Drosophila melanogaster: one gene and its partner. The protein of the gene in region 1 interacts with the protein of each later gene in a biochemical or structural test. Each region holds a gene or a part of one and is shown in the gene's direction. Other genes may lie near its edges.

Region 1 (6,655 bases):
AGTCGGGTTATTTGACCAATTTTCTTCGATTACTCCTTATAGTCACCTGGAGCTTCTGGGCCTGTTTGATGGCAACTCAACGCTACTGGATAACTGGTATATAACCTGCTTTGCTGGAATAATCTGTACAACTCATTTGGTCAAGATATGGGACAAAGTCTGTGGAGGGTCCCGGAAGATTGTTGTTTTCCTGTTTGTAGAACTAGTTAAGGACATAAGGTCCTCGATACTAAAGCAAACATCTTTAGCAGACGTCAAAAGACTTATAGAAACGGTAAGTAAATAAGGAAACCATTTGCTAAGCCATAACTTATCCAAAATTTGCCTTAGGTAAAGGATCTTGACGGTGTTATTATCGTAAACAAGGCCATCAAATCACTACAAAACAACAGCAGCGAAGTCGAGTACACGCACTAAGTAAATCTACACTTTTATATTGGACATGTATATAGCAGAATGAACTAAATGTATTTGAAGACCACGTCCTTTTTATCGCCCACCGTTTGCAGTTCCAAGGTCACTGGACACTGCATCCAATAGGAGAGCAGCTCCTCCGTGTAACCAATAAGGAAGTACATTTTTCGCGGTGTAATCGCCTGCCGAATAAGGGCCGCGATCCTAATGGTGTTGTGCTGTCGCTTGATAATGACCTCGGAGCAGACGAGGGCATGCCATGTGCCGGTGACAAACTTGCGGATGAACACATCCTCTATGGCGGTCTGGGACGGACGCAGGGCATCCTTCATTGTTGCTAAGATAGAAGGTGGCCATCAAAATGCTTCCTTAATAAAATTTTCTCACAACTTACACGTGTTCCATGAGTTCCACGATTTGCGGTGGCCAATAAAATGCGGCGGATTGGCCATCTCGTAGGTAAGAGGCCTGTTTCGCTTTGTGGTTATGCGGTATCGCCCGGATTGCACGCGACAGCACACGGAGCTGGTGTGGAATCCTGACCGGCTGAGCTGCTGCACCTCGGTCGCCACCTGGGGCAACAGCTGCAATAGATTAGGTTATTTTAATATATAATTTGTCCTGTTTGTTGTTATTTAACACACCTTTTTCAAGAAGTTCATTATTTTGCGGCAGAAACAATTTTGCGTCCAGCAACAGCTGATTGACGTGACGTAACGGTTCGCTAGAGATGGACAAATTTATAGATAAGTATTCGATATTATTATTGTGTAGTGAAAATATTTTCTATAAAATAAAAAACAACATTGAAGGAAGTAGTTAAATAAAAACACAGAAAGATTAATTTTTAGTTGTGTAAATGCCCTTTTTAGTTCTTAAATGCAATACTTGGATCTCTATTGCATTGATTAAAATCGATTTTTATTTTGTTTTAAAGCGGGGCAGAGTTGTCAACAGTTGTCGGTGGGAAAATGTAATAATGTAATGTAATAAAATTATTGCACGCTTATTTAAAATATATAAATAAACAACATTTTGAGAGCTTCCTTAATAAATAGAGTTAACTTTGTATTAATCCCTTTATTCGAAAGAACTTTGACTGATCATTGAACTTGGGCAGAACTAGCTATAAATTAGCTTAATCGGTAGCACTGGAGCGCTGAGCCTGCGCGCTTGGAAAATGGCTTAAACGCAGGCCATCTCAAACAAAGATCGAGGATCTCAGATCAGAAGGAACTACCTGTTGAAGCGACCGTGCAACAGGACTCATCCAGAAGCAAAGCTGCAAAGGTTTATTCCCAGAATCCCTGGTATCCGAATGCACTAATAGGTGAGGATACATTCAAAGTAATGACGCTGAACGAGAGCGACGCTACTCGCCTGGAGCTGACGCGCAACTTCCTGGAACTGTCTCGAAATCCGGAAACATGCACCGCCCTGCGCAGCTCGGACTGTATCCAGCTTCTGGTGCAGATTCTGCACGCCAACGACGAAGGCCTCTCCACGGCGAAAAAGTACGCCAGCCAGGCGCTGCACAACATCGTCCACAATAATCCGGAGGAGAAGGAGCGCCAGCGGGAGGTGAAGATGCTGCGCCTGCTGGACCAGATCCTCGACTACTGTAACTTTCTGCACACCCAGTTGCAGAGCGGCGGTGAGGCTATCGCAGATGATGAAGATCGTCATCCGCTGGCGGCTATGAAGCTCCTGATGAAAGCCAGTTTCGACGAGGAGCACCGCCAGACTATGTGCGAACTGGGAGCCCTCAAGGCGATTCCCAATTTGGTCCACCTTGATCATGCGGTCCATGGACCGGCTGCCGGTAGGGAACAGTGCAACGCCCTCAGGAGCTACGGCCTCATGGCCCTCACGAATCTCACCTTCGGAGACGAGAACGTCCATAACAAATCGTATCTGTGCGGTCAGCGACAGTTCATGGAAGTGGTCATTGCTCAATTGAACACGGCTCCGGATGAACTGCTACAGGTGAGTTTAATCTTGGAGATTAAGAAAAAAAGATCGTAATTTAATTACCGTTGATCTCATCAGGTTCTTGCTGGTGTGCTTCGCAATCTTTCGTGGCGCGCGGACAAACACATGAAGACTATCTTTAACGAGCTGGGTACTGTGACCTCCTTGGCTCGAGCAGCCATGCAAAACAAGAACGAGAACACTCTCAAGGCCATACTTTCAGCCCTTTGGAATCTCTCAGCGCACTGCAGCACCAACAAGGCGGAGTTTTGTGCAGTAGACGGAGCACTGGCATTTTTGGTCGGAATGCTTAGCTACGAGGGTCCGAGTAAAACTCTTAAGATCATCGAAAATGCAGGCGGCATTCTTCGAAATGTATCGAGCCATATTGCGGTGTGTGAGCCGTACCGACAAATCCTAAGACGGTACAATTGCCTTGCCATTCTGTTGCAACAGTTGAAATCGGAGAGCCTAACCGTGGTAAGCAACTCCTGCGGAACTCTGTGGAATCTCTCGGCGCGCTGTCCCGAGGACCAGCAATACCTCATTGACCACAATGCCATCCCGCTCTTGCGGGCCCTAATCAGCTCCAAGAACTCCATGATTGCGGAGGGCAGTGCCTCGGCTTTGAAAAACCTAGTTAATTTCAGGGCCACTCAGGAGCTTATGCCCAATGGAGATGGTGGGTCACTGCCACTAGACAAGGAAGCTGGCCATGGAGGTACGCTGCCACGGAGATTCAGCTCACTGCGCCTAAGCTCAAATCCCACGGGATCGCTTAAGAAAGTGCGACCCTCAACAGTCAGCACAACTGGCTTTCTGAACAGAAAATGTGAGAGCCGAGAGTCCATTTACTCGGGCAAATCCGATTCCACTAAATACTCAACCAAGTCGGAGGGAGCGAAGAATCCCTTCGAAATTGTGACACCCACTGAAGAGCAGCCCATTGACTACTCCATGAAGTACATGGAGCACAAACCCAATAGCAGTAAGACCTTTGAGATCGACTTGGATCAGCCAACGGATTTCAGTGCTAGATATAAGGAGAGACGATCCGCTCAGACGGCACAGCCGGAGCTGAAGTCGGAGACCAATGAGATTAGAAGTAAGGAGTTGCAACTGACAAAGTCCTCCTCGGCCACGGAGCTGCGCAATAGTCCTGGCCTGGTGGCGGTTTCAGCAGCTAAGCAGAAAATTGCCACCGAAACGGAGACGGAAACGGCAGAGCGACCAATAAACTACTGTGAAGAAGGGACTCCCGGCAGCTTCAGTCGCTTCGACTCGCTCAACAGCCTCACAGAGAAACCGGAGAAATGTATGCCGCCAAAAACTCCAACGAAAACTGCGGTTCTCCCGGTGCACGTTGACGGAAATACGCCTCAAAACATCGATTCCGCACTAGAAACTCCATTAATGTTTTCGCGTCGCAGCTCTATGGACTCATTGGTTGGCGACGACGAAACGGTTGCCTGCGAGGACAATGGATCCGTGATCAGTGAATACAGCCGGATGCAGAGTGGTGTTATTTCCCCCTCAGAGCTGCCCGATTCACCCACCCAGAGTATGCCTCAATCTCCGAGAAGGGACAGAAAAGTGTCCACTCAAAATAACTTGGACACACCTGAACAGAAGCCCAGTACTGTGTTTGAGGACAAGTTGAACAGATTCCACGTGGAGCACACGCCTGCTGCCTTCTCCTGCGCCACCAGTCTAAGTAATCTGAGCATGATGGACGACTCTAATGCAAACGCTATTCGAGGACAGCGTGGAAATGACATCAACGGCAATGGGGATGCTCCTCGCAGCTATTGCACAGAGGACACTACTGCCGTGCTTTCCAAAGCGCCAAGCAATAGTGATCTGTCCATTTTGTCCATCCCGAATGATCTAAATGCGAATGAAGCGCAGCCAGTGCCTGCTCCGCGAGCTGATGTTACCGGAATGGACACTCGGATGCCGGCAGAAGATGCAATCTCTAAGATGCGCTGCGGTGGCAATGCATTGCCCAGTTATCTGCCAGTGTCGGATGAAATGAGCAAGTACTATGTCGAGGACAGTCCCTGCACGTTTTCGGTCATCTCGGGACTATCCCATCTCACTGTTGGCTCTGCTAAGGCTGGGCCTGTTCTGAAGCTGCCAATGAGGACTGCAGAAGAGGCTCAGGCACCCAAACTTCCTCCCAGACGTAGTGCCGTTCAAGGAGATGCGGAGCCACGCTTACCGCCGAAGAAAAGCGACTCACTGAGCTCATTGTCCATGGACTCGGATGACGACTGTAATCTTCTAAGTCAGGTGAGAAAAGGATACTTCATTCAAAACACTTGATATATTTCACCATATAAACATTTTGTGAGAGACTCACTCAAAAATAAGTGTCTTTGTAGATTTAGCAATCGGAATGTTGATATTTCACAAAAGTTAAATTTAAAATGCAGTCAGAAAATTCTCGCTAAAATCAGAAATATTAAAGTTGTTCCCTCTTTTTATAGGCCATTGCTGCGGGAAGTTGTCGACCTCAGCCCAGCGGTGCCAGTACCAGCTCCAGCCTGGCGAACGCTAGTACCAGCACTCTATGCAGGGAAAATGGGCAGTCAAAGAAGCAGGTGGAGCATGGCGATAAGCCGAACTACAGCTCAGATGACTCGCTAGACGACGACGACGATGATGCACGGTCCAAGTCGCTATTTGAGCAGTGCATTCTGAGCGGCATGCATAAGTCCAACGACGCCTTGGAGTCGGAGGGTGAGCCGCCGGGGCAGCGCCAGGAGATCAGTGCCCGGGATCGATTTGTCAGTAACCAGGTGCGCCAGATTGAGTCCATGTTGGCTGGGCGTCAGCACTAGAAGCGGATGGTTGGTTAATTGAGAAGCGCATGCATTTGTTTAGTGGCTTTTAATCTTGTCTACGCAATAATATTCTCACGGTCTCAATTTTCCTATAGTTCAGATTAAAAATTTGCACTTAAATTTAACTCTCCAACACGTGTAATATTATGTTTACCCTCTCACTAAACAATTAAGGAAACTAAAAAGGGTGATAAGAAATGGGATACAGTCGCGGTATAAATATAAATAAAAGTTGCGATCAACTGAGGTCCGGGTAACTCCTAACATGATGCTACTGTGATGAACTAGCTAGAGAGCTCAGTAGAAACGTTTTCGCGCGTTGCGATCCTTGAAGTAGGAGATGGCGAAGATGGCCACTGCAGCCGCCACGACAACCACGAAGAGAAGGATGAAGAAGATCTTGGCGTTGGACATTCCCGGCTTGGGATCTTCTTTGTGCTCGCGCGGGGGCTCGAATGTCTTGGCATTCGGTATGATATTGGAGCGCCGGATAATCTCATCGTGCTGCGAACAAGAAAGAAAGTAAAAAGATGGTTATTGCAACAAGAAAGTAAAACTGGTTTTCAGTAATATGATATAAATATTATAACACACGGCTTATAAAGATAAACATGATTAGGCATCAAACAATGTGTTTAAAGCCAGCTGCTTAATTATTACAAGTTGCAGCAATTAAAAACAAGTTCACTCTTTTTTCTTTATACGTATACGCAGTTATTGAAACTTAAGTCCGCTTTTGGGTTCCTTGCACTCCTTATCGCGTTAGCCAAATAGCAGACAGCTGAGTAATGCTTACTTCGCTTCCGAAGTTTGGCAAACAAAAGTGAACTTACATTTACGTTCAAGTCCAGGTCATAGAACTTGAAACTGTGAATATCGTGATTGTCGGACAGATCACCCGTCGTCGCAGACATGCCGAAGTGGTAGCCCGTGGGTAGCTCAACGTTGGCCACTACAAAGCAGTTCTTCCATTCGTTGCGGTTCTCCAGATCTGTGGAAACCGACAGAATGTCGTTTTCGTATCGAATGCTAACCAGCGTCTCGTACTCCACATTGCGGAAACGAACTTCGCAGCCGGCCAGCTGAGTGTGCGTTCCATCGCGATCGTGGTCGTAGCTCCAGCTGCCATTGTTCACCATGGCGCTGAGATATGGATGTTGGTGCTACAAATATAATGTTAATACATTTACATTCAATGCCTTGCGTAATGACATACGTTGTGTGGACCATTGTGATTGCTATAGGTGTCCAGAATGATGGCCAGTCCGGAGAAGTGATCCTTGCTGCCAAAGACCGGCCCGGTTTGCATGCGCTCCTTTGTGTACCAAATGGCAAATCCGTCGCCGAACAGTTCAGTTCCCTTGCCGTGCACCTTAAAGCCAACGTGCACTTCCCAATTGCGAGTCATCACGGGCTTTGGATTA
Region 2 (4,848 bases), about 11 Mb from region 1:
AATATTTCCTGGTTTATAAGACTTTCACTAAATCGAGACTTATCACAGCAGCGATATAAAGTTATTAAATATTGATTTAAATTTTAGTTGAACATTCCGCGATGGAAACTGATAAGGAAAAACAAAGCGATGAGCTCATGAATCGCATTCGGAACGAGCTTACAGCTATATTATCTCAAGAGTAAGTTATCAAGTTACCCAATATATATATATATATATAAAAGAAGAAAAAAATCAATCCATTTATAATCCTACAACAGGGCTGCTGATGATTCCGACAAGGAGGCGTCACAGGAACTGCTCCTGAGTCCCAATCCGCTGCCCATTTTCGGGCCCATAAGGAAAACAAGGAAAGCAAAATCGAGGAGTTCCAAGAAGAACAATAGTAAGGCCTCCTCCTCGTCCGCTGGCAGTACAAAGAGTTCGTCGTCGGGTACCAGATCATCTGAAGATCGTTTAACTGGAGGTGGAGCCCAGGAGAAGCCATCGGATCCGGTCTCCACATCCTCGAGCTATTCGCTAAGATCAGGATATGACGCTCCGCCCGTGGAGGCCAGTGCCCGTGCCGACTTCCTTGAATCGCAAGCGGCCAAAAGCATCGACGAAGATGTCCGGAAGATGCAGCTGGAGCTCAAGCAGAGCTACGAACTCTTCCAGGGCATTGGCGAGAAATTGGAGTCGGTTAGCTTCACGGGCTTGAAGGACCGCATACGGGACCTGCACCTAAACGAATCCAACAACGAGTTGGGCAAAGCGACGACTGCAGAGCTTCAGATGATGTTCGACCAGCGTTTCCTGCAAAATCGCCTGGACAAGCTATCCACGGACGCCACGCAGGGATTCCGTCGGCATCCCGGCGAATTCGGCGACATACCCGAGCTGAGCACCTTCTTCCAGGCATGCACTCAGTTGGAACGCGGACTGGATGCACTGCGTCAGCAGCGGCGGCGCAACAGCGAGCTGGAGAAGCGTCTGTGCTGGGCCACCGAAATCGCATACGATCGCATGGACGAGATTCGCAATGCGGTTGGCTCGGATCCGGAAAAGAACTTCTGAATTGGTGACCTGTAGTTACATTTTTGGTTCACCCTAAGGTTCATTACCCGCACACAAACACACACACAGGCAAACACGCACAGGTGCAATACATATGCGTTTATCCCACACCCATAGGCGATGCAATAATTGATTGTGTTATCTTCTGGGCCGCAGCTGGGTTGTTACTCACCCGAGTCCGTGTACCAGCTGCCTGCATGGGTTGCTCTTCTGGCCGACATTTTGTGCGAGATCCCTAATCGGTCTGTTTAGTTAGTAAGAGCTATTAACTGGCCGTTACTTGTAGAAAAAACGAGTTCTTTGTTATTGGTACAGCAGTGTGACCGTCGTCTTGTTTTTGAAATAAACACGTTCTCTGGATTCGCTGATCAGCGGTCACACTTCTTCAGGGCTGCATTAAGTACTTAAATATCGTTTTTTTTTTGGTATAATCATATATACCATTAATACTTTTTTATTATTCTAAATAATAAATCACACAAATAAAATACAATACATAAGGTAACGTAATTTTATTTAAGTGTTGTTTTTTATTAATTTCCATAAATGAAATCGCATAACATATACAACTGAAACTCACGGAAGTCGAAAGTCGGAATTCTGCAATACCAACATTTCAAACTATACCATAATTCTTGCAGTTTGCCTGCGCGCACCGAGGTATTTTCGAACGACCCGTGTGCGGTCACACTGTTCGCATAGCGTCATTGCTGTACTAAAACCTAAAAATCCGCCGTGTTCGTATTCCGCCATTTTGAAAGCTGCGAGTGGAATTTGGACGCGTTGCTGGTAAATTAATTGTGGGAAAACTGCCCAAAAAGTGCATAAAATTTGTGAAAAGTGGTCGGCAACGGTGCATGAGACCCGCCGCCAAGTGTTTGTCCCCGAAAATTGTGTGTGGCCGCGTTTTTGGCACGTGAATTTCTTGCCCAATTGTGAACTCGCAAAAAAAGAAAAAGAAAAGAGAGAAGAAAACCGACGCCGCCGTCGCCGCCGCCACAAAGGAATAGGCGAATAAGCGAGAGAAAAAAAGGCGAAAACGAGAGCTGAAAATCAAATTGTGCGCCGCTGATTGCGTTTCAGCTATTTAATAATACCACAATCGAAAATCCGCGGCAGCGGCGATTTTTCCACGGATTACTACACCATATATTTCCCATTTGCCTTTCCGTTTGCAACGAGTGTGCGCCTGTGCCTGTGTGCGTGCGTGTGTGTGAGTGTGCGATAAACGTGTACAAGAAAAATTTAAACGTGCAGAATTCTGATGAATTTTAAAGCGGAACTGCTATTGCCTGTATAGGTGATGCGGGTGTGCGTGTGTGGGTACGCACACACACATGACCAAGTATTGTTGCGGTTTAATGCAAAAGTCGAGTGAGTGCGTGTGTGAGTGAGTGAGAGAGAGAGAGAGAGAGCAATGCCTGCCATATTCTATGCAAAACATAAATAAAATTGTGCAATAATTTCCCCGCACACGCACACAGCCACAGATACATACACTCTCTTTGTAATTTATATTTTTTTCCGCCCGCCTAGTGACAATACACACGCAAGGTTCACTGCGCAACGTCCCCCTTTTCTCAAGCACCCCCCTTTTGCCCACGCCACTGCAACATGCTGTCTCATCGTTGTTGTTTTGCCGCCGCCACATTTGGTGCGACAGAGAGAGAAAGAGCGAGCTAGCGCGAGTGCAAGAGAAAGGGTGGGAGGGAGAGGCCAAAAGCAACGAGTTTGAAAACCAACTAAAGCCTCATGTTGACACATTTCAACCGGGAGTTTTCGTTCTTTCGCTCGGATTAAAAGCCTTTAAAGGGTGAAAGTGCTGCTTATCGTTTCTTCTTCGCGAACTAAAGCTTTAAAAGTATAAATAGCTTTTATTTCCTGCGCCCGCATATTGATTGCAAATTACAAGCGCACACACTTACTCAACAACCGTTGCGATTGTTTGTTTGTGTGTGTTTATGCCGATTTGAATACACAACCAAGTGAAAAAGTTTGATCAACTTACGAATGTCCATTCAAATTGATGCTTGTTTCTAGTTTTCTTACAATTTTTGCGCTTGTCGTGTTTTTGTCATAGCTTCTTCTATCTCTATCGCTCTCTCTCTTCTCTCTTGTTCGTTCGCCCTTTCACTGTTCGACGTGCCTGTACCCATCACACACATACAAACGTATACGTCATACACACACACACACGCACACATGAAGAGGCAGACAGACAAGCAACTCTGGGCTCCCCCCTCCCTAAACCTCTCCCCTCCCAGCCACATACTGCCGCACTTGCAACGGGAATGTTGTTGGTATTGCTCGCAGTGCTCAAAACTCCGAAGAGGATTACAAATGGTGTTTTTGTTTTTGCCCAAAAACGGAAATACAGACAAACTTCTGCCACATAAAGAGTTCAAATTATAGCGACTGTTAGTTGTTTAGTCATTTGTTGTATTCCCCGCAACTTTTTGCGCACTTTTGGGGTATCTAGACTGATTACAAACCCTTAAAAGCAGCAGGCACAATTGAAATTATTGATTGCCTTAAAGTTAAAGTTAATTGCGGTTATGAAATTTTTGGCTAATTGTTCGTCATTGGGCAAAAATGAAATGCTGAGGAATTTGCTTTATAAAAACACTTAAATTTATAGTTATTAGCCACTGAATTTGTATTGCAGTCGTTAAGAATTCTTCCTACCCAATGTAGTTTTCGCTATAGAATAAATAGAAATATGGAAATATGTGGCAGAGAGAGCCGCTTTTCCCGTTTCCACTTCAATATTTGCATTGCCATGGAATTTTCTATATATATAGTCCATCGATAACTGTACATGTTGCTGAATTTGTTGTTACTAGTTTTTTTGGCGCAACAACGTTTTCCGCTTCTTGTCACTGCCCTTTTTTGGCAAATAATAAATTTGATTGTGTATGGGCTGCCCACTCCCACTAGCTAACGGTTATTTATTGTCAATGCCAGGCGATGCCGCCCACTGCCACGCCTCGTACGACCCCCCCCCCCAATCCGTTTGATGCTCTGTGTTTTTGCGCAATGTTTGTTGTTGTGTGTTTGCCGCCGACTGCGCGCGTGAAAAAATGCACACCTGCCCAAAGAATTTCACACTTGGTGGTGCACGGGGCGCAAAACAAAGCGAAAGCAGCCACCAAAATAGCAGGCAAACGTTTAAATTTAAACACAAAAGTCCGAGGAACTAAAATTCGACCAGAAACACAATGGCAGCCATGTGTGCCTCATATTCTTGTATTTTTTTTCTGCGCTCTATCTCTATCGATCTGAAAGGCAAATACAACGCAATTCGGTTGATGGTACAGGCTCTAATACCCTTAAAGCTAAATTGTCCAAGTTATAAATTTGTTGAAAATGAATGATAGTTTACAAATTCGGATGTCTTTCATCTATTCAGCGGTGGAAAGATGTATTTTGGCCAGCTAATCGTTGCATGTTTGATGGCAAACCTTTCGCCATATCTGCTATACTCCTGCGCAAGCACTTTTCAAATGAAAACAGAAAACACACACTTTCAGATGGCTCAGCCAAATTCGTCCAAAACAACAGATGCAGCGATATGGCAACAATAATAAATAGAAATAGCCAAGCAGCCGCAAAACGCAGAATCAGCAATTCGTAAGCGTGCGAGGCAATAATATATACATATATATATATATATAAATTGTATTTCATTTGATTTTTTCCCACTTCTGGTCACTTGCCACTCGGCTATGCTGGCTTGCAGTTTTTCGATTTGCGTCATTCGCAGACCGCGCGCACCACCAATCAATATTATAA

What was found.
Region 2: the proteins of Apc2 (region 1) and CtBP form a complex in vitro, tested with the Drosophila melanogaster proteins (one study listed by BioGRID).

Annotation. Positions count from the first base shown.
Region 1 is NT_033777.3:24,162,410-24,169,064, forward strand, and holds Apc2 (adenomatous polyposis coli 2), read left to right. Parts: upstream 1-1,556; 5' UTR 1,557-1,764; coding exon 1,765-2,400; intron 2,401-2,463; coding exon 2,464-4,677; intron 4,678-4,874; coding exon 4,875-5,228; 3' UTR 5,229-5,528; coding exon of another isoform or gene 5,529-5,735; 3' UTR 5,736-5,855; downstream 5,856-6,655. Other genes in the region: TBC1d7 (TBC1 domain family member 7), read left to right, coding at 43-274, 331-417; mRpS24 (mitochondrial ribosomal protein S24), read right to left, coding at 462-751, 809-998, 1,059-1,076; CG5510 (uncharacterized protein), read right to left, coding at 5,529-5,735, 6,065-6,394, 6,448-6,645.
Region 2 is NT_033777.3:13,009,904-13,014,751, forward strand, and holds the start of CtBP (C-terminal binding protein), read left to right. Parts: upstream 1-1,745; 5' UTR 1,746-1,845; exon of another isoform or gene 1,846-2,269; intron 2,270-4,848. Other genes in the region: CG8031 (uncharacterized protein), read right to left, coding at 1,229-1,277; CG11656 (uncharacterized protein), read left to right, coding at 102-181, 261-1,056. UniProt on the Drosophila melanogaster protein: Corepressor targeting diverse transcription regulators. Hairy-interacting protein required for embryonic segmentation and hairy-mediated transcriptional repression.